Tamandua tetradactyla: one gene and its partners. The protein of the gene in region 3 interacts with the protein of the main gene of each other region in a biochemical or structural test. Links are inferred from orthologs where the notes say so. Each region holds a gene or a part of one and is shown on either strand. Other genes may lie near its edges.

What was found.
Region 1: the proteins of CASK (region 3) and ATP2B4 form a complex in vitro, tested with the Homo sapiens proteins (2 studies listed by BioGRID and IntAct, with this or other methods). The link is inferred for Tamandua tetradactyla from reciprocal best matches to the Homo sapiens genes CASK and ATP2B4.
Region 2: the proteins of CASK (region 3) and CNTNAP2 form a complex in vitro, tested with the Homo sapiens proteins (2 studies listed by BioGRID and IntAct, with this or other methods). The link is inferred for Tamandua tetradactyla from reciprocal best matches to the Homo sapiens genes CASK and CNTNAP2.
Region 4: the proteins of CASK (region 3) and FCHSD2 form a complex in vitro, tested with the Homo sapiens proteins (2 studies listed by BioGRID and IntAct, with this or other methods). The link is inferred for Tamandua tetradactyla from reciprocal best matches to the Homo sapiens genes CASK and FCHSD2.

What each region holds. Positions count from the first base shown.
Region 1 is NC_135330.1:60,978,827-60,986,641, reverse strand, and holds the start of ATP2B4 (plasma membrane calcium-transporting ATPase 4), read right to left. Parts: upstream 3,071-7,815; 5' UTR 2,635-3,070; intron 2,051-2,634; exon of another isoform or gene 1,775-2,050; intron 1,006-1,774; exon of another isoform or gene 905-1,005; intron 1-904. UniProt on the Homo sapiens protein: Calcium/calmodulin-regulated and magnesium-dependent enzyme that catalyzes the hydrolysis of ATP coupled with the transport of calcium out of the cell. By regulating sperm cell calcium homeostasis, may play a role in sperm motility.
Region 2 is NC_135327.1:191,131,835-191,139,201, reverse strand, and holds the start of CNTNAP2 (contactin-associated protein-like 2), read right to left. Parts: upstream 3,190-7,367; coding exon 3,052-3,189; intron 1-3,051. UniProt on the Homo sapiens protein: Required for gap junction formation. Required, with CNTNAP1, for radial and longitudinal organization of myelinated axons.
Region 3 is NC_135353.1:130,139,286-130,146,306, forward strand, and holds the start of CASK (peripheral plasma membrane protein CASK), read left to right. Parts: upstream 1-3,932; 5' UTR 3,933-4,101; coding exon 4,102-4,160; intron 4,161-7,021. UniProt on the Homo sapiens protein: Multidomain scaffolding Mg(2+)-independent protein kinase that catalyzes the phosphotransfer from ATP to proteins such as NRXN1, and plays a role in synaptic transmembrane protein anchoring and ion channel trafficking.
Region 4 is NC_135334.1:72,922,659-72,929,701, reverse strand, and holds the start of FCHSD2 (F-BAR and double SH3 domains protein 2), read right to left. Parts: upstream 3,112-7,043; 5' UTR 3,073-3,111; coding exon 2,950-3,072; intron 1,320-2,949; coding exon 1,222-1,319; intron 1-1,221. UniProt on the Homo sapiens protein: Adapter protein that plays a role in endocytosis via clathrin-coated pits. Contributes to the internalization of cell surface receptors, such as integrin ITGB1 and transferrin receptor.

The DNA of each region.
Region 1 (7,815 bases), on a different chromosome or scaffold from region 3:
GTACTTATAAGTCTCGGGCACTGTGCTAGGCACTGGGAGTCTGCAAAGGAGTAAGACAGACCACCAGGACTTCTTCCTACTTGACCTTGAATCCGAGGACAGAGGTGGCAAATGGGAATGGAAGTGACTGAGTGGGCTCTGAGCCACCTGAGAAGCAAGACACTTTAGCTCTGCAGCTCTCAGCACCTTCTCCAACAGAGTATGTTAGATGAAGGCAGAGCCAGGGAGTGTGGCGCCCAGCTGCGGGAGAGGCTGACGCGGGGGCGGGAGGCAGAGAGGGGAGGGGACGCAGTTTTGCTGCAGTATTGATCCTGCTTGGAGTCACTGGTGAAAAGGGCTGGGGCTGCGGAGCACAAATTCCACTGCAGCCCCCCCACCCAGGGCACTAACTCAGGACCTGTTCCACAGGGCTGGGTTCTGGCAGAAGTCCCACTAACCTACCAGAATCCAACCTCCCAAGTCAGAGTATTGTTTTCAGGCTGCAGACTGGTGCGATTCTGGATCCCCAAGATGGGCGCACACGGGCGGGGGGGGGGGGGGGTGAGAAGTGGGGGTGTAACAGCATGATTTCAGGGTTGTACCTTTGCAAGATGGTGGCAGGTTGGACGGGGCTCCCTAGGAGGAGCAAAGAATGGATTTCCCCGCCTACCCTCTCCCCAAGGAAGGCCTCACTCATCTTTTGATCAGAATGAAGGCAGCGTAGATCATCTGGCCCCGGGGTGCAGTCCGATCAATCATCCAACACCTCCAAATGAAAACTGGTTCCTGCTGCTCTCCTGTCCCCCATTTAAGCTTTCCTCAAAATCTTTGCTTCTTTCTTCCCCAGTTTCTCCGACTGGGGCAAGGGCAGGTGTTTCCTCCTCTCTTCCCCTCAGCCTGCCTCTTACATACTCGTCTGCTTCAGTTCCAGGACCCACCCCGCAAAGCACCCTTTTACCCTGCTGCCACCATGCCACCAGCCCGCCAGAGTCAGCTGCGTGATGCCACCACCTTCAGCCAGGAAGGGTAAGCCGGCTCTCGATCGGTCCAAGCTACCCCGCCCCTCCAGCTTTCCTCCTCCTAAGGCCTCCCCACCCGGGCCCTCCCTCCTCCCAGGCCTCCCTCCCCTGCCCGTCCCAGCCTGGAATGCCCCTGACATCTTCCCTTCCTTCCAAGAACAGGGCCTAGAGATGAGGAAGGGCATGAACAGGGCAGCTCCGAGGAGGGGCTCACGGAGGGACGGAGGAATGGATCTTAAGACTCCCTGCCAGGCACCCCACCCTAGGTTGGAGATGGCACTGTGGAATGGGATTTTACCACCCCCCTCCCACCCACCACCCACCCCCACCAGCATCAGTTGAGTGCCCGCCTAATTTCTTCATCTGGCATTCCCCGGACCAGGCCAGCAGGCGCTGGCATCATGTCTGCAAGTTATTGTAAGTCCTATCAGGAATGCCCAGGAGGGAGGCGCCTATGGCCAGCAGAGTGCCCGCTCCACTCCCAGGATGGCCGCAGCCCCTCCTGTGCCCTCCATACCCAGCTGGAGGGGAGCGGGGGTTCCTCAGCAGGAGGAGTGCATGGGACTGGATTCACCCCAGGGAGGATGCCAGTGACCCCCATACCCCAAGCCAAGTATGTGAGTGTGTGTGAGTGTGTGTGTGTGTGAAGGGACAGCAGGAAGGAGAATCCCAGCCTTAATTTCTAGTTCCTTAACAAGACAAACGCAGCGGCCCATGACGCTCCAGGGACCCTCCCAAGGACGCCTGTTGCCAACCCCCAACCCCCCAACACTCACCAGCCCCACAATCAGCAGCCTTAAAACAGCAAACTTTACAACTTCAGCCCTTTCTCCTCTCTCCCCTTTGGGAACTGAGTTGTTTGGGGTGGTGCCCTTCTGAGACACTCACACAGTTGGTTCCTGATGCTCACACACAGTCAAACAACAGCAGTACGAGGGAACTCCCAGCTTTTTCCATAGCTAATTATAGACTTGAAGTCTAAGGATGTTTTGCAAGAGGCAGAGAGAAACTGCTGAGGTTTCTCTGCAAAGTCAAACAAATTTAATTTGTGCATTTTCTATCTCCCCCCACCCCAACTTCTCCTAGCCCCCACCTCCCACCCACCCACCCCCACCAGTATGCCCCTTTCCAGGTCCCCACTGCAGCTCCTCCTTCTGCTGAAAATCTTCTGCATTTTTTTTTTTCCATCTCTCTTTGGGGCTTTCGAGAAAGGGAACAGGGAACAGACATGGAAAATATTTTTGCAACAGTTTTCCATTCTGCGTCTCATTCCCAAGCCAAGGGGGGAGGGGGGAGGCAAGAATGGATGGAGAAAATAAATGCTTTTTCCAAGAGCTCAATTTGGGTATGAAAAGACGTTCCCTCCATTTCCCTACCCCCACAGTCCAGGAATGACAAAAACTAGAAAAAGAAAATCACTTGTTTGATTATATAGATTCCCCAAACCAAGTCTAGGAAACAAATATTTAGCAAATCTGTGCACACACACAAACACATTACACAAATACTCCAAGATCTCCAAATCCAATCACATAAAATACACTATGGAGAGGAAATTCAGGGAGTTTTTTAAAAGATTGAGAGGAAAGAAACAAAGTTTACAAGTCACCAGTCAATTCATTCTCTGCAAGCCTACCTCTCTTTCTAGCAACGATCCAGGTTTCTCCAAGCGAGACTCTCCCTCCAGGTTTCCATGGACGGGGGTACGATGGAGGTGACCACCCACCGGCCTCCCCAAATTGGCAACCAGCCTAGAGATGCTGGCTTTGCTTTCTCGCCTTCCCTACCGGGGCCGGGTAGTGGGCTGGGTCTCCTCCCCCGGCCCTGCCTAGGGGAAGGACCTCTCAGATTCCTGGAAGAAAACGGGTGCTGGGGAGCTGGGCGGGTGTCTGCTCTTGCCCTCCTTGGACGGATGGTTCCCCAGGAAGTTCGGGCCCCACCACCACCACCACCACCCAGCTTTGGATGGTCTCAACAGCAGAGCTTTCTTAAGAAAATGCGTGTCATGGCAACAGCTCCTGCCAACTCCGTCCAGACTCTTGCTCACCAGCTCTCCGGGAGCAGCGAGGGAGGAGAAGGGGGAGGAGCAGAGGCTGGAACAGAGGTGGGACTTGGCGAGAGGCCAGACCATTACTCTACTGTTAAGGTGGCCTGGTTCTGAGCTGCAGCTGCTTCCTGGTTTGTCTTAAGGGGGAATGGGGAAAGAAAGGGAAGGAATCCTCTCCTCCCTCGAGTTTCCTCCCACCCTTGCTCTCACTTGTTGAAAGGAAAGCGGAGGTGGGGGGGGGGGGGGAAGCGGAGAGAATGTGGGTGGCTATTCAACCGTTGCTGGGTGGAGGGAAAAAAAAGGAAGCATCTGCAGACGTTTGGCTTCCTGCTGCTCCTACCAGCTTCTCAACCTCTTACTTGGTTAGACCCAGGACCCAGAAACTCCGAAACCCAAGGGGCCTACAGAGACTTGTACCATCCGCTCCCACCCTACTGCCCCTGTCTGGATATGGGGCTCAATGGGAAAGGAGAAGGAATGTTTGGATACATGCAAACATAATACAGTTTTGTACACCCAACTTTTAGTATGCACTTCCTCACCCAGATTTCACACACACATTTCTGGGGCACATTTTCCTCCCAACTGCCTCTGCACCTACCAGAGGTGCATACACAGTACATGATAGCTACCTATTCTTGAATCCTGCTACTTGACAGCTCTGACCCCAGAAACTTTGCATTCAAGGTATTATTCCTAATTCTCAAGGCAATCTTGAAAGGTACTTACTATTATCCTCATTTCATAGGCAAGGCAACTGAAGATCCTGTGATTTTTCCAAGGTTATGCTTCTGGTTAATGATAGAGCCAGGATTCAAGGCCAAGTCAGGTTGACTCCAAAGCCCAAGTGTTTTCTAGCACTTGTATCATAGTCTGGCATACATTTCCCTTTTAATTTGCACACACTCCATGCACATGCATACACGCTTTAATTTGCAGTTGTCCATGCACACTTCTACACAGCCAATAAACTGTTAATCACACCCCCGCAGCCACACACCCACCAGCATTGTGCAACAGTGCCACCCATAGATTTTGCATAGAACCTTACAGCTTTCAAGTATAAACACGCACCATCAACTGGTTCACACAATGCATCTTCATTGACTGATATATTCCCACACCCACCACGGCACACACATGCAATCCTATTTATGTGCTTATGGGAGGCAGTTAAGCATACATGACATAGCTTATAGCTGCCAATTCTGCTGTGAAGAAGGTGACCAACCACAATTTCCCAACCTTCTTAACAGGGGTTTGGGAAAAGGCCTCTCTGATCCTAACCCAACACCACCACCACACCTGTCCTCCTTTGCTTCCCCAGAACACAGAACCTTCTGGAGGGTTCATTTTGCACATGGAGAAAAAGAGCTGTGAATACCATCCAGTGGTCTGGATACCCTATGCCCATTAGCAGCCTTCCTGATTACCTAACATTTGAGGCCTTTCTTTCCTCTCTTTATCTTCTATCCTACTATTTCTCAATAACTCGTCCACATCCTATTTCTGAGCTAAGGCAAGTTAAACAGACCAAAAAGAAAAAAGAAAAAAAAAAAAAACTAATTTTTTTAGCCTGGTTGTGCCAAGCTCAGACCTGAGCTCCCTAATGTGGTACTTGAGATTGCCTGAATCAATACCTTGGGAAGCAGAACTAAAATAAGCTCCTGCCTGGGCTTGTCTCTCTTCCCCAGCCCAGTCCTGATGAAGGAAGGTAGGGGTGGAGGGGATGGGATTCATCCATGAATTATTCTCCAAGTAATCCTCCTTAGGGGGTTTGAAGTCCTCACCCAGAAACTTGGGGGACATGAAAGGTTTGTTCTCATTTGCACCACTCCTCTCTCAAATTCTTTGGTCCAATCCCTCGGGCATTTCAAGAGCTTGGTCTCTGGCCTTAGGAGTTCTCCCCATTTTAATGATGGCTCAGAAAGACAGGGGGCCCTGTGAGATTTTGTTAGGTTCTACCAAAATGTCAGCTTCAGAAGTCAAAATCAGCTGTTGGGGAAGCATTGGAATGAACGGAAAGGAATCAGTCGAACAGAACTTCAAATTTAATGGCTTGTTGGGCTTCCTACTGGATTGCAACAACTTGACATTTTAGTACCTGATGAATGTCAGTTGCATCTTTATCATGAGAAAGCCAGTCTCTGAAATGGCTCTAATGTCTTAACGTATATTTTAAGCTTGTCTGCAGTGGCTGTGCATGAATACAGTGCCTAACTGTTCGATAAATTGTCTTGGAGGAATAACAATTTAGGCCAGATGTGTGGTCCCACTAAAGGAGAAGTCTATTTTGGCTGCCTGGCATATGGGGGCTAAAAACTTATGCCAGTTCCTAGCTGCTGATTTGAAAGACAAAATCCTCTCCTTTGTCCCTTGGTTCTAGGGAACCAGCCCTGCAGGGGAGAAGCTGTTGCAAGAGGGCTTTGACGTGTTTCCCCCTCCTGCCGGCCACAGTTCATGGGCAGGCCAGGATATGACTTCTACCGTAACTGTCAGGGCCCTCCTCTCAGAGCCCAGTGCTAACCTTTCACTGGCGGGGTGATTGTGGGATGGGCAAAGGACAATTTCCTTCACCTCCATCCCTACCTCCCTTGTAGACAGGAGAGAGCGATGTGAGAGGTGGGTCGGTCTAGATGACTACAGGACTAACCGCAGCTGGGTCTCTGGCACTGGGCCAGACACTGAAGCCTGTGCTTTTTGGAAACCCAGAAGCCTCAGTGCCTGTTTCTTCCAGCAGTAGGTTTGGGGCTTGAGGTCTGGAATGGGTAAAAATAAACCTATCCGTAAATATAATATAAGCACTAACTGTGGGAAAGTAGAGCTGTCTCCCCAGAGGGAAGGCACTGCCTCTGGCATCAGAAGTTCATTGCTGGCTTGCTTCTGGCTGGGCACTCCGCAGCCCACCAGCAGCCCTACTTGTCTCTTAGTGCTGTCAAAGTCCTCTTGACTTAACAGGTACTCTGCTTCTTTAACTTAGCCAGCTGTCCTCAGCCAGATTCAGAGCCTCCCCAGAGCAGGGCTCAAGATACTGCTGGGCCATTTCTGCTAAGTCCCATGGCCCACCTTCCCTGAATGCAAATGACATTACTCCCTATTGTGGGTGTCTGTTGTTCTGTCTGGCCAGAACGGCAACCACCCTCCCCACACCCCTACCCAGTTCTTTAGTTGCTCTTTCTAATCTGATAACATGGGAATTGCTATTTTATTAGAGATCACACTTTGCCTGACCCTAACCAAGAACAATTTTTTTCCTGAAATTTTTTAACTTAATACCAAAGAGAGAGCAAGGCTTGGTTGGAGCCCTCCAAAAGTGAGCACTGCGAGAAGTGAAGTTATGGCCGTGTGCCCTGTCATGTGAAAGAAGACATCCAGCAGTAGGAAAGAATGATGCTTAAAGGCAGAGAGAGACAGAGAAGACAGCTGAAGAGCCTTGGCAGAAATTGAATCTGGGTTCAAATTGTTCCTGATATCCTACTGTACCCTTGCCCTTCCTGTGAATTGGTTACATGACTCACTATGCAAGCATAAACTGGATTAAATTGTTTTTTTGGGGTCACTTGTACTAAGTAAAGCAGAAATGTCACCATTACCTCCTCTTTTTGAGTTGGCACACCCACTTTAGTATTTATTTTAGAAGTTTAGTTTATTCATTCAACAAGTATTACTGCATACCTATTTAATTCAGTATGCATTCATCAAATGTCTACTGTTTCCACCTTGGCTGGGCCCACACGAAGTGCAGAGAAAAATAGAGCTTATAGCCTAGTTGGAGGGGCGGGGCACAGACATGTTCATAGAAGAATTAACCACTTACAGAAGGTGTTATTTTTTTAAACGTATTTGTAAGGCCTACCATGTGCGGGTACTACATGTTAAAAAATAAAGTATGAAAATACTTCTACAGGAATATCAAGAAGTGATAACTTCTAATGGGAATATCTAAAAGCTCTAGAAAGGAGTCAGTATTTGGAGAGGCCTGAAAAACCTTGAAAGAGTAAGCTTTCAACTAGTTTGGATGGGGTGAGGATGGAACTGTGAGGGTAATGAAATAAGCAAAGGTATAGAGTAGAGACAGAAGGCTTGGAAGATGGGTCTAGACTGAATGGCCTTTTCAGGTCTATATTTAGCAAGATGGCCATGGCAGGAGTGTGCACGATAATTTGGAAACCTGGAAATGGTAGGCAGGGAGCATCCAGGCACAGTGCAATGCCAGACAAATTAATATAATATGTTCTATACAACATGACCCTGCCTTCCAGAAGCCTTTGATCCAGTTGTGGAGACACATAAATCAGACAGCAACAAAATGACTGTAGGATTAACTCTAAGACTTGGGCTGCAGAGGAAAAACCCAGAGAGAGTTTGGCCAAGAAGAAGCTGAAGATGTGTGCTGGAATCTTTGAGGAAGGCTTCTTAGAGTTGGTGGGACTCCAATGGGACCTTGAAATTCTTCCCAGGGTCTCTCCTCCTGTCTACCTGCATAGCAGGCCTAGTAAAGGCTGAAGATGGATACACAGAGGCATTTCTCTAAGAAACATCTCTCCCTTATGCCCTTTGTGTGCCTTTGTCATATATAGAGCAAGGTTACTGAAGGGTAGGAAACTGTATTCAGGAAGATGGAGCTTGAGAAACTAATTTAGATGCAGGCAGGCCCCAAAGGGCAGGGTGAGCTCCAGATAGAGAATTGTTGTGGATGGTGCTGGGCAGAGACACAAGGCAGAAGACCAGGGACTTGGCCTGGGCCAAGATGGCAGAAGATAAGGGAAG
Region 2 (7,367 bases), on a different chromosome or scaffold from region 3:
AATTTCAGAGTATCTCGAAAAATAGACGGCCATCATTGCCTTCAGGTTATCCTCCAGAAACACTGCTTTTCCTAAGTTTTTGGTAAGTACTAAGCAGCAGTGGATTTGGGAATATGCTCTTTGCCAAGTACCTAGAATACATCTCTTTTGAAACGTGGAGCCAAACGCTTTCATACACACAATATCAACAAAACTACTGAATTTTATTTAGGGTGTGGATCAATAATAGCAAAGTAAGTTGTCATCTTTAAATTGTGCCTTTTCAAAATGTGAAAGTCTTGATTTGGCCAGCCTTACACTATGTGATATTAATGCATTCTTTGACTTGAACATTAATAATGATTTTATTCTCTCTCAATTTAATATACTTATGCTTCCTATTTAACTATTCTATAGCAAGATTAATATCCAGTAATATTTCCTTGAGGTACGCAGAGAGAGTTAAAATAACTGATTCTTCCTGAGTCTACAGAAGCCATTTTTCCCCTAGTATATTTGTATCTCATCTTTCATGGGTAAAAAAAGAAAACCTTTTTATATTCTGTTCCTCCATTTCATAACTAGTTCTAATTTTCTATTCCCTTCCATTTGACAACTTCATTAATAAATGGATAGCTCTGCCTTCCTCTCTTCCTCTTTGCTCTCTTAAAGCCCCAGTAATTTGTTTATTTTTGCACTAAAACTCAGAAAGCTGACTGATGATCCAATCAACTTTCTTTGGTGTGGTTATTTGAATTTCCTTCAACATCCCACAGTCAGTCATTCTCTCATCGAATCTCTCTTATTCAAGGACATTTGTAGTTTGCACATTTTTCTTTGAGTCTCTGATCACCTCTTGATTGCCTTCAATGGATTTTTTTTTATTTTTCTATGGGTTACTAAAGATGATGCTTCTCCCCCTACCCTTTCACAAGTAAAATCATTCACTTTCTTGTTTTTAACCATAAGTTCCATGGTGGATATTTTGCTGTCAAGCTTTGCTTTCTCAGCCTCCCGGATTCATTTTCTTTCCTTCTGGAAACCTGGGGAATAGGGGAGGTAACTCCCACAGACTGGATGGCTCAGACTCCTTGCTCTGTGATTCTTGATTGGGTTCCACCTATGCAGTTCAACAACAGATGATCAGCAGCTCTCAGGACCCCTCTATAGCTCTAGCTGTGACCAGTGCTGACAATACTGTTTCTTCCACTTGTTCCTTAAATCCTAGGAGTGGTAATGGTTTCCCACCGTCACTAGTTTAGGAGTTCCTTACCATCTTTTATCGGCTCCTTTATAATTGACCTTACCTCTCTTGTCTCTTCTGTCCAGGTAAACCTTTTGGATATTCCATGTGCTACTAGAGTACTGATACTATTGTGTGCAAACTTACTATTATATTTATAACCTCCCAAAGATTTTTGTTTCCAAATGTCTTTAGAATCTATGGAGTTGGAAATATTTCAATTTAGAATTGCCTGATTTTCCAGTATCCCGCTTTCCCTAAATTATTTGGCTGGATTTATTCTACCTTCACCTATCTTTTCATTAGTGACCCCTAGTTACAGCTCTTTATCGATATTCACTTCCTTTCAATTCCCATATCTATTCCAGGGTTTAAGGCCTCTTCAATTTCATACATAAGATATTGTAATACTTTCCCAGTCTTCCCCCCTGCTTTCCATCTCATTCCTCTGAAATATAAAATATGGTATTGATCACATAAAAATTCCCAACTCAAAAAGTTTAGAAAATCCCTACTTTGTACTAAATAAAATCTTAGTTTTTTACTGGAATTTAAAATCACTAAAGCCTGGTCCAAAGGTTTATTTTGAATTTCCCTTCCTTTGCTTCCCATATTTCCCTCCTTTCCCTCCCTTCCTTGTATCCCTTCCTTCCTTCCCTTCCTCTTTCTTTTTAAATCTATGATTTTGAGGAGAATATCAAACTTAATCTTCTTCTACTTTTACTCACCTTATTTCTCCTATCTGTAATGAAAGTCTGATGTTATCATAACTAAAAATATGTTTCTCCTATTTTTTTTAATATAGCAGAAAATATTCCTCACAAATATTTTTGCAGACTATTTTAAAGTTCAGTTTTGTTTGTGGTACTGAAACCATCTTGCTATTATCATAGAATTCTTAAAGTTATTTGATCTATCAACCAAAAAGGTGTCTCCTATTCTAAATAATTATACTACAATATTATACCAAAATATGAACAAGATTTTATTTGCAAGATATAAACATGCAATTTAAAGATGCATGCTTGAAAATCTGCTTATATCCTCCTTCATTGACTTCCCAAAGTTCTTGAACATGCAGCTCTCCCAAGGTTCTACATGTAGTCTCCCAAGGTTCATGTGTCATCACCCACTTTCTCCTCATTCTCTTATAACTAATCTCCTGTATCACCAGATATTAGTGAACTCCAAGACATGATACTCAATTCTGACTTTAGGTGACCTCTTGGAGAAGAGAAGAATTGTTACATTTTCATGATCACACACTGATAATTGTATTCTTTTTCTTTTTTTCACATGGGCAGTCACCGGGAATCGAACCCAGGTCCTCTGGCATGGCAGGCAAGCATTCTTGCCTGCTGAGCCACCGTGGCCCGCCCGATAATTGTATTCTTAATCAGCACACTAGTTCTGTATATCATTACACTAATATTAACAACTAAACTTGCCCTTCTTATGTAAACACCTTTTCTGATCTGAGACAGCAGTCTCATTTTTGTTCTTTATCAGAGAAGTGTGGGTTTACAGAACAGTTATGCATATAATACAAGATTCCCATATACCACCCTATTACTAATACCTTATATTAGCACTGTGCATTTGTTACAATTGATGAGAGTACATTTTTATGATTGTATTATTAATTACAGTCTATAGTTTAACTTAGGGTTTACTGTTTGCGTAGTTTACGTCCATGGATTTTTTTAAAAAATGTATTCTGTTACCATATATGGAATCTAACATTTCCCCTTCTAATCACATGCGGACATATATTTCGGGGCTGTTAATTACGTTCACAATGTTGTGCTACCATCAGCACTATCCATTACCAAAGCATTTCCATCTGCAATCTCATTTGCTTCTGGAATTACTCCTATTTTCCTAGCTCTTTGACTTCTTCCCTTTAATCTTTCTTTTTGATGTGGGGAGTTCTCATAATAATCTAAGTACTGGAGATTATTTCCCATTGTCCATACTTTCTGGCCCTAAATTGGATGTTGAACTCTAGGCCAGAAGTCCAAATGCCTATTAGACATCTTTATTTGAATGGCTGTAAAATGTATTTAATCAGAAGAAAAAATAAAAATAAAAAGGCTTTGCTTTTCCACCACCAACACTTGCTCCATTTCCTGTTTTTCTTTACTATTTGCTGACACTGCCATCCTCTTAGTCCTCCAAGCCATAACCTTAAGTCACATCCATGGCTCTTCCTCCACCTCACCTGCAACCAGAAGGTCCTGCCTCTGCATCAGTTATTCACCCTTAGCTGCCATTGCCCTGTTTGAAATTCTCATGCTCCCCTCACAGCTCTCTGAATGGTCTCTCTGCTCTCAGTCTCTTTCTTCCTCAGTTCATTTTATAGACTACCAGAGAAGTAGTTTTCTAAATTAAAATCTCATTTTGTAACAAACTAATTACTTAAGCCAAAAGTATAGACACACGTTGCCTTTGTTCACATGTTGCCAACTCAATACATTGAAAAGAATAATTCACGCAATTACCACCCTTTGTTTTGTTTATAGGATGCTAAATGATTCACTTAAATTCTTTTCAGCAAATTAACAGAATTGACTGAACTGAACAAATATGTTTGTTACGTTGGTGTCATGCATATTCAATTCTAGAATTTTTTGTAGCTAGAACTTGAGACAAGTAGCTGGTTACGGCTCCTGATTTACAGAAAACCTATCCTGTGGCTTCCATCTTTAATGCTCTCTTTCATAATGAAAGATTATCCATTTTTTGCATGTAATGTGAAGTGTTTCTAAAGCTATGCTACATTCCCCTATACCTATGAAAATCTTACTTGCTTTCTATTTGAATAGAATAATTTAGAACTTCACATAGATGATCACCACTTTAAATTCTGAACACATTGTCCTCTATTCAAGGGGAGGGAGTATAGAGAATATAGGGCACACTGCAGATAAATAGGTTCTCTGATTTTAAAGCTGTTGTAGCAAAATGTTATCCAGAGCAAGTTTCTTCTCCCTGGAGCAGTCAGGTGTGGAGATACATCTATCTATTTGATAGATAAACAATGCGCTTTGTTAGCCCAGAGGTTCTGGGGAATTAAAAAAACAAAACAAAACTGGAGACTGATTTTGAATCTGCCCTTTTGAATAAGTGCCAGTAAACAAGCTTTAATAGCTATTAGGTTACTTTGAGAATAAGATGGTGCTATTCAGCTCTTTTTTTTAATTCAACTTGTCTTTGGGAAATCTCCTATGGAACTATCTAGGGGAAAGGTAATTAGCATGATGGTATCCTGGGAAGAAATAAAAAGAAATGGAAATAAAACCTCTGATGGGAAGAAGGCATTATAAGAATAAACCAAATATCATTTGAAACCATATATTAATTTACATATTTAACTAAGATTGTAATTATGAAGGAGTTATTTGCTTATTGAATCATATTAACACACATCTATGATGTCTTATAACTCTTTATCAAGAGACTAGATCCATGGAGCAAGTATGTGCTATTTGTGAGGTGCTTTTCAGAGTTATTCAGATTCAATAATATTTTGCTACTGCAATAATGCAAACATAAAATCAGAGAATGGGCTCCAGTCACCTTATTTATATAGTTTTTATATTAGTATTCTACTGCCATCTATTTCAACTCAAGAATGATCTATTTACCTGAATTTTGTATAAAAACCTATGCATTATAATGCTTTAATATATAGCTTAGGATACTATCTTCAATTATATATTCATCCAGAATCTCTAAGCAATGTAAATATATTACGGCTTTCTAGTCAGTAAAACTTGACTGTGTCAAAGAAGTATATGTGTTGAGTTATTTGCGATATATATCCATGTAATATATACAGACACAAATGGAATAAGAGATAGAGACTTCAATCACATGGCAGTCTGCAAGTTTGGATTTTTTTTTTTTTTGCCTTTTAAAGTTGTTTTTTTAAGTTTGAATTAAGTTTAGACTCACATAGTAGTTGTAGAAATAGTATAGCAAGTTCTTGGGTACCCTTCTCCATGCCTCCTCCAGTACTAACATCTTACATAATCACAGTACAATTTTCAGAGCCAGGAAATTGATATTGACATAATATTATTGACTAAACTACAGACACTATTCAGATTTAACTAGTTTTGCCATGCACTCTTTTTTGGGGGGGAGAGGGTATAGTTCTATGAAATTTTATCATCTGTATAAGTGTAACTACCAATATAACTATGGTACAGAGCAGTTCCATTACACAAAAGCAACCATCTCTTCAACTTTATACTTAGCAATACAAATTAGTATTACGTGCTTATTAAACATATATTTTTTCTTTCATTTCTGCACTTAGCTCTTATTATAGAGAACAATTGTGTTATTTCTTATCCACTGCTGGGATACCTTATGATTGCCATTGGTTTACTGGATATTAAGTGTTAATATTAAGCATATAAAGAAAACAAATTAGGCAGTATCTAAATATCATGCTTAAGTTCTAAATGAGACAAATGAACTCAACCGAACTTAAATTGGGCCCAGGATAGGCAATTAGGGGAAATGAAGAGAACACAACCGTAACTTATCTTCAGCTCAGCCCATGGACTGCATATGCAAATTAAGAAACCAATGTGGGAAAAAAAAGTGAGAGTGATTTTTGTTTTTTTCATTTTCTTGTGGAACCCAGACAGCTTTGGGATCAAAGTGATAGGTTACTTCTCTTGTAATGACTAGCGGGGCCTCAGAAGGCAACTGGCACAGAAGATGACACCCAAGAAGGGCAGATGCCTGGAATCCTGGTAGATAACCAGCAGCCACAGCAGAAGAGTGGCAGCACCAAGCCAAAGCCTACTTAGCAATGAGCGATGCTCTGGAATCATGAACAGACCAAGATTCTGAATAGCATGTGCTATGGTCACCTCTGAATATACAAGGATCAAGTGCAGATCTGAAGCAGACAACACTTTCATCTCATATGTCCCTCTGTCTCAAATGTGACCTAGAATATAGGCTCTGTGAGGGTGGGGATTTTGCATGCTTTGTTCACTGTAACATGTTCAGTGCCTAGAATAGTGCCTATTCTGTAGATGATGCTCAAAAAAGAAATGCTAAATGAATACATGAATGAAGGATTGAGGCTCTTTAGCTATAAACTATTTTTCATCTAAAAAACAACAGTGCAAATAAAGACAAACATTTAGATGTCTTTTTCCAAACTTCACGTCCTTGCCCCCTCATCAATTCCTTGTATAATATGTTTTCCAGAACACCACAATACTGACAAATTTAAAATACAATGGGGCTGTTAATTTCCCTTAGTATGGATACTCTATATCTAATCATTCATCTTAAGGTCAAAATATTATAAGTTGCACATCTCAGTTTGCATGTGAACATATTAGAGCTCACACTGAATTGACGCCAAGAAAAACCTCATGGCTTTTCCAACTAAATACATTTTCAATACATTTCTCTCCCTCCTCTTAATTTATTTTCAAAACTTAAATTAAGATATTTATACTTATATTTACTAAACTCAATCTTGTTATATTTTGCCTCTTTTTTTTAATGATTTTCAATTATTTTCTCAGCCATACAATAGTTATTCTCCTGAGCTTTACATCTTGCAAATTTGGTAACTATGTTATCAAATGTAGAAGAATTTTTGACCTGCACAGGCCAAGGAAAGAACCTTCCAGCACTTCCCTATAGACACCCACCCAGGTGTTATGGCCGAATTAATGAATACATTTTACTATATCTGTGCAATTTCATTTTCTCTTCATATTTTCTATCTCTCTGGATTTGAGATGAACATTTTCTAAATCTCCTTTTTCTTACATGGAAGATTCTGTATTCATTTGCCTGTTTCGGCTACCCCCTCTAGATCTTCAGGAGTACTACTATTTCTCTGTTGCAGTTTGTTGACCAGATGGCAAACAGTATCCCGTAAAAACTCCGTCTTTTACACAGCAGGACAGCTTCCCATACCATTTTCTTCATCTGGTTTCCCTGTGAGAGCACAGTGAGTCACTGCCTGCCAGGAACAATCTACAGTGACTCCTAAATCTGTGTCCTTAGGTGTAACAAGTCCACTACTCTAGAAATATGTGTTGACAGCTTTTGTTTTTTTTCCTGAGAAAATCACTTAAATTGATTGTATTAAAAGTTCACT
Region 3 (7,021 bases):
TAGGGTTTGTTTTCCCTTTTATTTCTGGATCATGTTGAAATTTTATGGGAATCCAACAGCCAGAGACTATCAAATGCAACCATAAGTCCAACACCTAAAAGCCATTGAGGATATTCACTGACATTTCAGAAACAAATTTGTTTAGCACCAAACTCAGTCTTATGAGTTATGAGATATTTCCTAATTTTTAAAGGACTATAAATTATATACTAAAGGTATATATCTACATTACGATGGAGATACGAAATTATTTCATTGGTAATTTTCCTAGTGTTGGAGATACTGCTGACTGGCTACCAGAAGCCATTCCCTACCTGCTTCTCCATTGCCTATTTCCAAAGAAGAGGCAAGAATAGTCAAATACTCTTGCCCCAAGCTTCCCTTGAAGTTGAGGGTTGCAATGTGACTGTTCTGGCTAGTGAAATGGGAAGAGATATTTTCTTTCCTTAATAACAGATGGGAGAGGAGCAAAAAATGCCTTCCTTACTCCCATTTGCCCTCTTGCTTCCTGATTTTGAATACAGTTTGGTATTTGAAACTGTGGCAGCCATAGTGTGATGATGAGGCAGCAAGCTTGAGGATGAAAAGCTAACATGTAAAGGATGGTAGAGTGAAAAAAAAAAAAAAACCTAGGTTCCTGGTAACAAAGTTGAGTAGTTGAACCAATGGTAGCAACCACCTACCTCCAGATTCCTTGCTACATGAGAAAGATACCCAAACCCCTAATTCGTTTAAATCACTGTTAGTTGAGGATTGTTATTTATATCTCAACACAATCTAAGTGATACACTTAGTCACTTTAAAATTTTCTTTGTGGAAACTAAAACAGAACTAAATTGACACCAGACCATTTGTACATTGGGTATAAATACATTGAGTATTGGGTTTTTGGAAGAAATCCAGAAAAGAGCTAATTTCATTAAGAAGTCTTAGTTATTTTAGTTTAGATGCATAGAACTACCTCCAGCCATAATGCATAGTACAAATTCTTAGGGATGTGTATTACAGAGGACTTCTTCTTTATGACAAAATACCACACTTGGGACTAGGAGATCTAGATTCAGATTCAATGTTTAGCTAATTATGTGACGTGGACATCTATTTGTCTTTGAATTTTTCACCTGTCATTTTTAGGATGGTTTCTTTGAAAGTAACAGGGAATTCAACTCAAAATGGCTTAAACAATTAGGGAATTCATTGCCTTATATAACTAGGATGTCTGGAGGTTTGGCTGAACAAGGAGATCAATAATGTCATTAAGGACACCGTTTTTCTCCATCTCCCCCCCTGCTGCCCTGAGTTCCACCTTCATGTTATGCCTGCTTCCTCTCAGGGGTACTAGATGACTGCCAGCAGCAATTGAGGCTGCCTCTTTATTCAAAGCCAGAGTGGTGATTTTGATGGGGGTGTGGGGGGTGGGATGAGGAGAAAGAGGGTGTTGGAAGTGATGTTGGGGAAAGTCCTGAGCTTTGTGCTGACCAGAAGACCTTGAACCATTCAAAGCCATGGCCATGGAATGCCAAGAGCTGAATAAATTAGGTCAATCTTTGTGACAAAAGGGCTGGATTTATTAGTTTAATGAATCAGGATCCACTTTTCCAGGTGAGGTGATTACAATCCCACCTCAAGTTCATGGCCACTATCCAATGGTGGAGGGGAAGATTGGCTCTTGGGAGAGCAACCACCATATCCCCCCACATCTGAGGGAATAATGAGGAAATTGGACTAGCTCTAAGGCTCCTTCCAGATCTAAACTCATGATTCCATGAGCAGAGAGCATACCTACCTCGCCTTTTTTTTTCCCCTTAACCTCTACTTTCTTTTCTGTTTTACCTTATAATTGTCCTTTTCTCCCTTTGAGCATAGGTCCCTGTGAAAGATAAAAAACCAAAATGAAGTAGTCAACAGCCTTGGCATAGTTCCCATTTGGGCTGGGAAAAGGAAGTGAAGTCGACAAGGTGACTTGTTAGGGTTGTTGTGCACTTCAGGGCAGAAGGGAGTGACCTATTTATTGGGGGTGAGTGATTTGGACTTGTACCTTAAAGAAGGCCTATGTTTCGCAGGCTCTGGAGCTCCCCTCCCTAGAGAGTGCACAAGCTCTTTGGGAAAGGAGGAAAGCAAAGCCTTCTTGTGCAATTATAATTTTCCTTTGATCCGCATTGTATAAAGGGGGACTTAGTTCCTAGATCCTTAACGCTGGAAAATTCCTCAGCTGCTTGAGGGAGTGGTCGAGGCTTTGCACCAAATACCACTGAAGCGAAAAAAAGGCTGTGGATCTTCACCCACCCCTCAACTTTAGTAAACATTATATTTTTAAATTACCACACTGAGAATTTTACCACATGATTTCTGAAAGCTGACTTATGAAGTAATTGGGCACTTCTGCTGTGCGGAGGAACAAAGACTTTTTTTTTTTATTGCGCTTTAACTGTGAGATATATACCTGTCTGATGGTTTTTGCTCATTCCGCACATGCTCAGTTGAACAGAAATCTTCATATTTGAATGGAACCTAGCTCAGTGGCAACACGCAGAACCGCCTTCCCTGGCTGACCCTGTGCATCCACTCCCTCTAGTTGCTTTTTTATCCTGATATGTCTAACACTTACAGGGAGTATAGGCAGCAGACTAGGTGCTGGGGGTTTGAGGGAAGGAGGATATACAAAAGGGCTTAAAGTCTCAGTATGCCCCTGCATTCCTGAGCTCTCTAGGTGTCCATACTGCGGGTAAGAGCTGGATAGGTATTTGCTGAGTTTGGAGCAAAAGGCGGGAGAAGCTGTCTGTAGAAATTACCGTTTGTTGTTGCATACCTTCCCAGACGCTTTTTGTTTGGTCCTTTTCTTGTAAGTGGGCATACCCCTTCTCCCAGCCCTCATCTTCATAAAGGAAGTAGAAAGTGGCACTAAAAGCATCCGCCGCCTGGCACAATCTTGAGTGACACTCTCTCTACCTGTCTTCTTTTTTCATACATCAGTATCCTTTCCCTGCCTCCTTTCTAGCAAAACTGGGAAAGGCTTCCTGCCCTTACAAAAGAAAGGGGGGTGCATAAGTGGTTACGAGCCCGTCGCAGCAGACAGCCGAGAGCGTGCGCACGATGGTGGGCCTTCTGTCCAAGACTCCTTTTGCGGCTTGGTCGCAGGCAGGGCGTGGAGGTGATGACCCAGACAACCCCTTCCTCCGCAGCTGCTGCCGGCGAACCCCGCGGGCCAACCCCCCTCCCACTCTAGATTCCCGGCGCCCGCCAGTTAGCTGTGACGTGGCTCTGCATCGAGCGCATGCGCCGGCCAGTCCGGTTCACTTCTCTCAGCCACCACCTCCCAACCGGCTGGAGTGGGCGGGGTCTGGGGTTCTGGAAAGCCGCGCGGCCGAAGAGGGAGGAGGGTGTGTGCGTGAAGCCGTGCGCCGAGCTAGCGAAAGGTTCGGTGGCTGAGGCACAGTAGGAGGAGCAGAAGGCGGTGGCTGCGGCTCCCGCCCGCACAGAGCGCGCGTCTCACGAACCTCCCTCCCACTCTAGGGCGGGCGGCGGCGGGGAGAGGAGGAGGAGGAGGTAGTGGAGGAGGAGGAGGAGGAGGAGGGAGCGTCTCTGCCACCGCCTCCTGGTCCCCAGCGCCGAGCTGCCGCCACCTCCCTCCGCGGTGATCTTCCCTCCATGGTCCTGCCGCGGCCCCCCCTGTAGCCCGAGCTGCCCCGCGTCGCGCCGGAGCCGGCCTCGGGCAGAGGGAACGGCCGCGATCTCGCGGCCCCCGAGGGCTGACGAGCTGAAAGCGGGGAGGTGCGCGGTCCCTGAGGATCCGCACTCCGGGCAGTGCGGCCCCAGCAGCGCGAGGAGCGGCGGGCGGGCGGGCGGCGTCGGGCCCGGGCCGCCCTCACTCCGCGCCCCGGCCCCGCCGCCCGCGCCGGGGCGGTCGCCCGCAGAGGCAGGCTCCGCTGCAGTCTCCGGGCCTCGCCGCTGCGGCCCGGCTCGGGCGTACTCAGCACCGAGGGCTCGCGGGTCCCGAGGGGAGGAGACGATCTCCGGGCCGGGCGCTGAGCTCTTTGGCGCCCCCACCCCCGTTTTCGGAGGCCCACTCCCCACCTCTGCGGCCCCTGTCCTCTTCGGACCATGGCCGACGACGACGTGCTGTTCGAGGACGTGTACGAGCTGTGCGAGGTGATCGGCAAGTGAGTCTCCACGCGAGGCAACGGGAGTGTGGGAATATGCATTTCAGGGATGCCCTGGTCCTCCCGCACCCGCTTCGGGCCTGCCCCCTGCCCTCCCAACCCTCCACCTCCCTTATCCTCCTCACCCACGAGTATTTATAGAAGTACCTGGACCGGGGTCTGGGGTTCTCTGCGATGTGTTGAGGCAAACGAGGCGATGTCGGGCACATGAGGCGCGGGGCGGCAGAAATCTGCTGCCTGCGTTTTATCTGATGGTTGCACAGGGACGTGGCAGAACCGATTTTATAGTTGTTTCCTGGGAACAGTTGGGCTTATTGTTACCTTGAATGTAGCACAGACCAGTAATGAAAAGAGCAGCTTGCATTTCCTTTGCTTGCATGGAGAGGTAGACGAAGAACGTCCAGGATTTTCAACTATGGGGTGTGTGTCTATTGTGCAGGATATTAGATGCCTTTGTGCTCACCCCATGTCCGGATTGGAGGGGGTCATTTAAGACGGGGTGCGTTTAGTTTCAGCAAATTCCTCACCTAGCGTAGATGAACATGGGAAGAGTTGGAGACATCGTAATTTCTAATGCCTCATTTATACGGTGACTTTGTTCGAAGCTTTCCTTGAGTGTTGATGGTGGTGGTGGTTAGCGTGGTAGAGCTGTCTGCTTTGAGTCACCCGGCTGGTCTAGAAGATAGAACTGACAGTCCAAATGCTCATCCTTTCATCTTTGTTGTATAATTACACTAGGGAAAGGCATGGAATCAGATTAATCACAGTGCTGATTGAGAATTAAATCTGCAGTTCTTCATCTAATTGTCCATTCCTTAAATCTGTTTTGAATAGTTTCCTTTTCATTCTTGTCAAACACTATTCCAAGTGCACAATTCTTGGAAGGGAAATGCTGGCAGTTTGCTTGTGAGAGAAATGCTGGCTGGCAGTTTGAAGTTGATTTCCTAGTTCAGCGTTGTGTTCTCTGGCTTTAGAAGTTGGGGAGATAAGATTTAAGAGTAATTTTGGCTTATTTAATAAAGATTGCTGGGTAGCTACATCGAAATATTTATTGCCTATTCAGAGGTCTGTATTTGGGAATTGAAACCTTAGAACAGTAGGCTCTATTTCTTTTAAATTGTCTGCAGTACTGAATTTCAATTTGTTTAAGTGCTGAAAACTCATTTTTTTCCTTCCATATTGAGGTATTACAGTTTTGCATGAAATGGTGAAACTGTGAGTAGAGGTTGCTACACACTTTACTCACACCCAATTGCCAGGAGGACATGTTACTCCTTGCCCCTATTGTTACATGACCAGCCTTTCTACTAGAAGGATATACAAATATAACCCGGTAAAGTGGTTGAGGAAGTACTCTAGGGCAGCACTGTCCAAAGATATAGAATGTGAGCCACATATGTAATTTAAGATTTTCTATTAGCCACATAAAAAAAGTAAAAACAGGTGAAACTATTGTCCATAAAATATTTTATTTAACTCAATAAATCTGAAATGTTATCGTTTCAACATGTAATCAGTATAAAATTTTTTTTACTTCCTTTCTTTTTCTTTCATGTGAAGTCTTTGAAATCCAGTTTATGTTTTACATGAACAGCACATATCAATTATCATACTAAGCTAATTTTCTTTTCGAAAATACTTTATCTGTATTTAGGTTTCATAAATTTTACATTTGAAAAAGTAGATTCACATATCTAAGTTGCTCCAAACATACTTAAAAGTTTTCCAGTAGCAGAATTGAGCGTGTGTTTCTAAATTTAAATTTAAATTATTTAAAATTAAATAAAATTCAAAATTCAGTTCCTCAGTCAGATGTTTCAGGTGCTCAGTGGCCACATGTGAATAGCACCATTCTAGAGAGACAAATATGCCAGAAATCTCCTTGGTTTCTTTATTTTTAGGAGCACCCAGTGAAGGTAAATTAGGTGTTTCCCCAAAGCAGCAAAATGACTGTGTGTGTGGGTGAACTATGTTTGTTGCATCTTAGTTATATCTGATGTAAATGCGCCAGCAAAGTCATAATTGGAAAAGGTGAGAATAAAATGTTGGTTATATTGTGATGACTGAAAATAGCCAGCATTGAATCAATTTTGATAGCTAGTTCTGATTACTTAACATTTTTAAGAGTGGTGATATGATATTTTAGGATATTTAAAATAAGTGATCAGCATCACATTAGCACAATCAGTATTTGCTGACTTAATTGATAGAATAGTTTTAGGAAACACTCCTGGTAGAGCCAAATCCATCTCTTTTGTGGTTTTGAAGCTGCTTGAGGAGAGAGAGCAAGCTAATTTTGAGGTGATAGGCATTCTATGGCTACCTTGACTACTGTGATCTGTGAAATCTTGTTCATATCCTACAAAATCTGACTTGGTCAGTTCCATTGACAATATGCCACTCCGTGAATAATGAATTCCAGGTAATCTTATTGGTAACGAATGTAATGATAGTCTTCCTTACCCCATGTAAAGGTTGAAGGTTTTCTAGTAAATTGTCTCAGCATATATTGATCTGAAAATTGAAATTCACTTGAGATTTTCTTGTAGGGACAGTTGACAGCATATCATTTTAACTTAGGATTTGTTCAACTCTGAATTTAAACAGAAAGGCCTTGAAGATGCTCACTTGTACTAAAAACATTTTTGTTGATGTCTGTCCAAGGTCTGTGGAATTTTGTTTTTCTTCTATACCAAATAAGTACCATCAGTTGTTTTTGACCACTAGGGTTTTAATAGCTTTAAATTTTTACTAAGGCCTCTTTAAAATGGATTTAATTTCCCAAGACTAGTTGACCACCCACTCACTCCCCTGCTTATCCACACCCCCCCCCATTTACTTACCCTCCTACTCATCTACTG
Region 4 (7,043 bases), on a different chromosome or scaffold from region 3:
TAGAGATTTATACTAAAATACCTTAGTCCTCTTAATAGAGCTTAAGAACTTCGAATTCTCCTTACAGAGGAATTAAGTCTAAAAATTTCCTTGCGGCCATGAGAATAACAAAAAAAAAAACTGAAATAGAGTACTTTTCAGGAAAAAATGACCTTGGTATATCCAAGTTTGGATGAAACTAGATTTACATGCTTGAGTTAAAAACCATGAAAAGTAAGGTATGCAGCAGCAAAGCTCATAAGTAGTATATGAATTACATACAGGGGAGGAAAAAAGGAACTGAAAATCTTCAGCCTACAAAGAACTTAGCAATAGAAACACATTTATCATAGCAATATATAGTTAATACTCTTTTATGAAACCAAAATCAGGTTAGTGGATAGGCAACCAATGTGGCTTACAGATCCAATTCCAATTTGAATAATGTATTAATAAAGAGAAATAAGAATTGTGGCCACTCAATTTCATCATGTCAATCATCTTTCGCCCTTCAAAATATAAGTTGGCTGAATGGTCAGACTATATTATAGGATTGTTAACTACAAATAAGTGGGAATTCCTTCATTAAAAACAGTCAGGCTTCCCTTTATAAAGAGTGACTGATTTTCACAATGTTGGCAAAATTAAATTCAACATTATCCTAATTATGAAAACAGGTAACTTTAATGTTACCTTCCCACTAAATTTACCATTCAGAGATCACATCTGTCACATTCCAACAAATAGTGCTAGTATTTAATAAATAATTATCAAGGGTTGACTGGCACACTTTCAGATATTAACCATTAACTACAGATGTTGATTTAAAAATCTAACTGCTCCAACTCTGATTATACTGAGAGCCACTGATTGTTAGATGGAGTATATGGTGTGTAAATAGAACTGCTTTAAAAAAAAATTAACTGCTTAAAATTTTTAAAGTCAATAAATAATTGTTACAATTCAGTGGAAAATATTTAAATAATTTCTACATCAAAGATTATCATTCTATTGACAAACTTTTAAAGACCCTTGAACACTGTGTACATTATAGGGTGCCCCCACTGAAGAAAAAATTTTTATTGTATTAGTTCCAGTTATAATTTCCAGCTCAGTCAAAGCTCCAACAACCTTCAAGCAGGAAATCCAAAAGGAAATTATATCATCAGTTCCTGGGGTTTGGTAACTCAAAGGTTCTTGGAAACAGAGATACAATTCTCACACTATTTACTGTAACCTTACCTCATATCTTCAAGCAAATCACATTCTGCTTGATGCTTGGCTTGAAGTTTTGTCATCTGCTCAACTTGAATGTTTTTCAGTTCTTGTGTAACTTTCACCTAAAATATACCATTTATTTATGAAAGCCTTACTGGAACTTGAACAATAACAACAAAATTACTTAAGAATATACTTAATATTTGTCAGACTATAAACTCAATTCTCCTCTGAAGACCAAACATTCACTGCTAATCACTGAAGATGCTTATTTAATGAATGATTATTTACTGAAGATGCTTATTTAATGAAAAACTAGCCTAACAACCTAAAAGAGAGGGTTAATGAGCCCCTGATATATGCAAGTATAAAAATTATAGCTTAAAAACGTGCAAGATAAACTGCCAGTCATTCCTTTGCATGCACAAATTCAGTATTTAAGTCTTCTCATGGTTTTAAAACAGCCTGTCTTCTATTTCTTCCAAAAAAAAAAAAGATTCAAAGACATCAGCCATCAGAAAAGCTAAGCAGAGTGTGTATGGGAGAAGGGAGAATAAGACTATCTAATTCCTAAGAACTGAAATTTACACAATCATAAAATGTGCATCGACTAGATGAATTATTCCATAATGGCTGTGAGAAAGCACACTTTCTCAGCATGATGCCCTCGACTCGCTGACAGCACATCAAATCATAATCCCTTTCTCACAAAGGAGAAAGCAAAAGTGACCTTCCAGCGTTTGCAGTGCTTTTAAGTCAACCCAGCTAGACGGTCCCCGTGGTGGTTCCACTTCAAATAGCGAGCACAGCAAATGCAAGCTGGCCAAAACCCCGCCCTCCAGGCCGGGACTCCAGGGTTCGAGATTACGATGGATCTGGAATATCCCAGCCGCCAGAACAAGACTACCGGGAGTGGTGAGGGTAAGTGTGAGAAAGAAAAGGGCACACGTAACTGGAGAACCCCGGATTAAGAAAGAGAAAGAAGAGGAAGCAGACACGAGTCAGGCATTCAGCAAATGTTTGCCCACGAGGGGAGAACCGAACATCGGCCTCCTTCCTTCCAGAGCCCAGAGTAGACATTCAGTAACCATCTGCAGAATTAAAAAGACAAGGACACTGCCTCGGCCCCCTGCAAACCCTGGCGAAGGAGGCAGTGAAACAGCTCGCGAAGAGCGCAGCCGGGAAGCCACTGACAAGCCCGGAGGAGCCGTCACTCCCATCGGGACTATCCATGCCCAGGTCGTGGTGCCTACGCCACGCTTGGCCCTGTCCTCCCTTTCCTGGAGGCAGCAGCACCACCGCTTCCTCGACCCCCAGCCGGGAGGCGGGGCGGGTTGGGTGGAGAAAGATAGGACTGGTCAATCTTTAATTTCTTGTTTCTCCCTGGGAAGGGAGACTGTGACTATTCCAACTTCTTTTCTTCTGCCCCATGGGAAAAGCAGGCCAAACCATAAGGCTAGGCTTGATATAACCCCCCTGCAAATTTGGAAATGCAGAGGGGTGCGACAAGCGGCTGGAGGGTTCAAACCAGATGCAGACTACACAATCACACGCAGAAGGCTCTGCAAAACTGCAGGGGCTCCCTCGCCTCCCTCCGGAGCAGCCCAAAGAATGCACTTTGCAGCGGGCAGCACTGCCATGCGCGCGCGCACACACAAATGCACACCCGAAACTCTTGTGAAATGCCTGGGGGTCTCCAGCGCGGTGGAGGGGTTAAGCCCCCGCCGCTCCTCCGTCGGAAGGGCAACTCACACGCGCTCCCCAGCCTGGAGCAGACGACAACTCGGTGACAAGCCCGAGGCGAGGGCGGTCACGGCCCTGGCGAGAAGGGGGAGGGGACTCAGCGGTTGCCCCAGCCGCGTTCCTTGGACGCATCCGCCCCCCAAACCCCAAAGCCCCAAAGCCCCCGAGCTGCGCCCTCACCTTCCTCGGCGGCGGTTGCATGATGCTGAAGGGACATCAATCCTCCCCCGACGGTGGCCTTAGCAAGAAGGGGGGGCGCGCAGTGGAGGGGACGGCCCAGCGAGTACGCGCGCGCGCGTGCGTACGTGTGTGTGTGTATGTGTGTGTGTGTGTGTGTGTGTGTGTGTGTGTAAAAAGAGCCTGAGAACGAGGACTCGCCCTGATGGAGCGAGACAGGCGGGCGACCGGAGGACCCGGGCCGGAGGGCGACTGTAAAGAGGAGGAAGAGCACAGGGAAGGCCTGGGGCTCGAACCGCCCGGGGGGTGTGTGAGAAGGAGGCGGAGACCGGGAGGGGGCGGGGACCCGGGAGCCGGGACACAGGGTGTCCCCGCCCGCTGAGCCGCTAGTGAGGAGCAGCCGCGTTGCCTACGCTCCCTGTCTGCCGCCGGCCCGGCTGCTCTATGCGGACGCGGTACCCGCCTCCTGCCTCCCTCAGGCAGCCCGGCCCTAGCTGGGCCCAACGCCCCCGCCCGTCCAGAGAAGAGGGGAGGCGGTGCCGGCTCTCGGCTTCGCCTCCGCCACTCAGGCCGCGGGAATTTCCGGCTTTACAGCGCGACGTAGCGCCCCGCTTCGGCAGCGGCGGCAATAGCTCAGTCGAGAGCCTGGCTCCTGCGGCCGGGCCCCAGACTGCAGTGGGGGAGCGCGGCCGCGGCGCAGGACGCTAAATCGCGGCAGGGGACGGGGGAAATTAACGGATTGGTCGGTGGGATGGGAAGGTGGGAACGATAGCGGAGCACGAAAATCCACCCCCGTCCTCTCCGAGAGTGGCACGTTCCAAACGCCTCCTACCCTCGGTCCTTCGCACTGGGAGCCTGCTGGGGGCTTCCCGCGCGCTTTCCCGCCAGCCAGCCGCGGTGCGCGCGCCTCCGTTTGGGGGCGCGCACGTGGGCGGGAGAGGGCTCGGCGCCGACGCACGCGCACAGCCCTCCCCCACCTCTCGCCTGCGTCTGCGGTTCCATGTGTGTCTGTTTGAAGGGCTGGGGGAGAAACGACGCTCAGAGTGAAGTTTTTGCGATGGGGAGAGGTGCAGCATGTCTGTGGTGGTAGGAGAGTTCCGTTTTCCCTTGAACGGATGGCCAGCTAGCTGAATACGAAGGGGCGAGCATGAACAAGTCCTTTTGCTGCCCGCTGCAGGTGCCTGGCCAGTGCGGGGTTCGGCACTTGCCCTGCAAGCAGAAAAATGGTTCTCTGCTACAGAGCATTGAAGTCAAGGAGCATGGACTCTGCTGAGTGGAAGACGAGATGTCTTTAAGGCCAGGATCCCGTTTCACCAATGGGCCTGGAGTTTCCGAAGGTCGCACAGCAAGACTAGAATCTCTGTCCCAAAGCGTTCTCTGGGTTATAAAAACCAGGTGGAAGGATGGTAATCGATGAGGAAAAGTAGCGAAGGCTACATGGGGCAACGGAGAAAGTCCTTATCTGGAAGTCAGGACCTCTAGGTGCCAGTCCACTCTACCTGATTGTCTGGGTGAGCTCGGGCTTCCTCATCTGCCAGTGAGGAGGCTCACCCCTGCAGGATCCCTCAGAACCTTTCCTTTACTGTGGGACCATCTAGGGGGAGAGATGTCAGCCTCCCTAGGAGTCCTTAGAAAAGAACAGGAAATACCTTTTCTCCATTCCCAGGGGGTTGCTATGAGCCACAGGGCTTTATGGAGAGTGAGCCACATTGCCCTACAGTTTTATTAGAAGTTGGCCCTTCAGAAGTTGGGGGTCCCAGACAGTAATCAGGCAAAAGAGGGAAGTGAGTGAAGCTTTAAAAAAAAAAAGGCCCAAGTAATTGTTCAAAACCATATGACCAGAAAATTGGGAAGGTGGAACTTGAACCTGGATTGTTTGCTTTTAATTAGCCTGGATGCTTGCGCAGAAAGGTGATAGAATCAAAGCTATGAACTAGACCAGAATTAGTATTTCTGGTTTCCTTGAGGCCATTCAAAAAAAGTCAGCCCTTCACCAGTCTTCAATTAGATCTGGGATTGCCTGGGGCTAGGAAATAAGTGGGTGGAGGCCCAAAGCCCTGCCTGACAGCTCTGAGGCAGCAGCTCCAGCTCAAGCCTGAGGCAGTTAAAAATTGGGCTCCAGTCTCAGCTCTACCACCAACCAAGGTGAAGCCTTGGGCCACTCAGTTCACCTCTTTCAGCCTTTGTTTCTTCATGTATTAAGTAGGGGCATAATACCAGCCTAGCAGGCTTATTAGATAGAATTTCTCCTGCCACATAACCTTGTCGCACAGTCATGTTCAATAAAACCATCATTCATTTTTAAAAATGTATTTGCTAAGGTCCTCCTTTGTGCCACACCTTGTGCCAGGTGCCAGGCACTGGCAATACAGGAGTAAGAAAGATGGAATCACCCTGACCTTCACCAAGGCTGAGTTCCAGACCAACCATTCCACGATGACACAAGTTATAGAGAGGGGTAACACAGAGCTTGCCCAAATGTAGTGTCCCACACATAGGAGGTGCTCAGCAAAGATTAATTGAAGGAATAATGAATGCTGAATCCCAGTCCTGGGTCAACTGGTCTGGCCCAGAGAATGTCCTCCCTTCACCTTCCTCCTGCTGAAGAGAGTCCTGGAGGTTAAAAATGCTGAGAGTTGGAAGAATTGGGGTCCTGCCGTGACCACTGTGACCTGCTGGGCATTTTCTGGGCTTCTGTCCCCATCTGCAGAATAAGGTATGTACATGAGCCTGGAATTGAGTAGACTCTTTACAGATGAAATTACCTGATTTTGCATCATTCCAAAGCCAGGAGTGGCATGTACTTTATGGAACGATTTCCTTTGGAGGTATTATAAAGGGCGAAGGAACAACACCAGATGAGCTTACCTGCTAACCTCTTTTTCAAAAATGTATTTTTAGAAAACGTGTTTAATATATACCAAATACCTTTTCTAAATCCCGAACTTTCACGTTAGTTTTCTGAGCTAATCCTCATTATGACCCTATAAGGTAGTATAATTTTCCTCATTTCACAGATGAGGAACCAGAGGTTCAGTGAGGATAGGTGACTTGCCCTGAAGTGATGGATTTGGGATCAGAACTCGGTTCTCCCATGTACCTCTATGAGAAATGTTCATAAGAAACGGGGAAAGTTCATCTAGGAAAAAGGACCCAAAAGGATAAAATCCATGTGTTCCAAACTCCACAGGGATGGGGTAAGGGATTTCTGAGACCTAAGTAAGCTTGACTTAAAATCTACCCTTTGAAACAGGCTGCAGGCTGGGGATTTCCAGAGCCTTGCTCCTGTAGTACATCAGCTCTCTTGAGATTTTGTAAAGAAAATGCTGCAGAGCTGTCCCTTGGCCACAGAGCAGCATGCACTGTGTCCCCAGAGGCAAAAGTGGGACAGGTCTCAGCTGCATCTAAGGAAGAAGGTTTTCCAGGCAGAACTACCCCTGGAGGAGTAAGCTTCCTATCCCTGGGACTGTCTAAGCAAGAGCTTCCATCAAGGAGGCCACAGTTGGAATTCTTATCCTGGGAAGGAATTAATAACAGTTACTATTTATTTTGCCCCCTCCTTCATGTTTCAGGCATTGAACTAGGTATGTTGTTTACATTGTCTCCAACTCTTACAACAACCCCTCATAACACATATGACCCCATTTCACAGATTTCACAGCTCAAGGCTCTCAAGTGAAATGCCTTGCCCAAGGTCACACAACTAGTACAGGAGAGCCAGGTCTGGACCCCTGCTCTCTCTGACTCTGAAGATGTGCTTTCCTGTAGTACACTGGTACACAGTCTCCCAAAAGAAATGGAATTCTAAGGTTGTCAGAACCAGGATTGAAAGCCAGCCTGGAACAGGTATACCAGCAGACACTGGAAGACAAGCTGTTCTGCTCTTCCACAAATATCCTAGGAGAAACCCCAGAGAGGTAAATGCA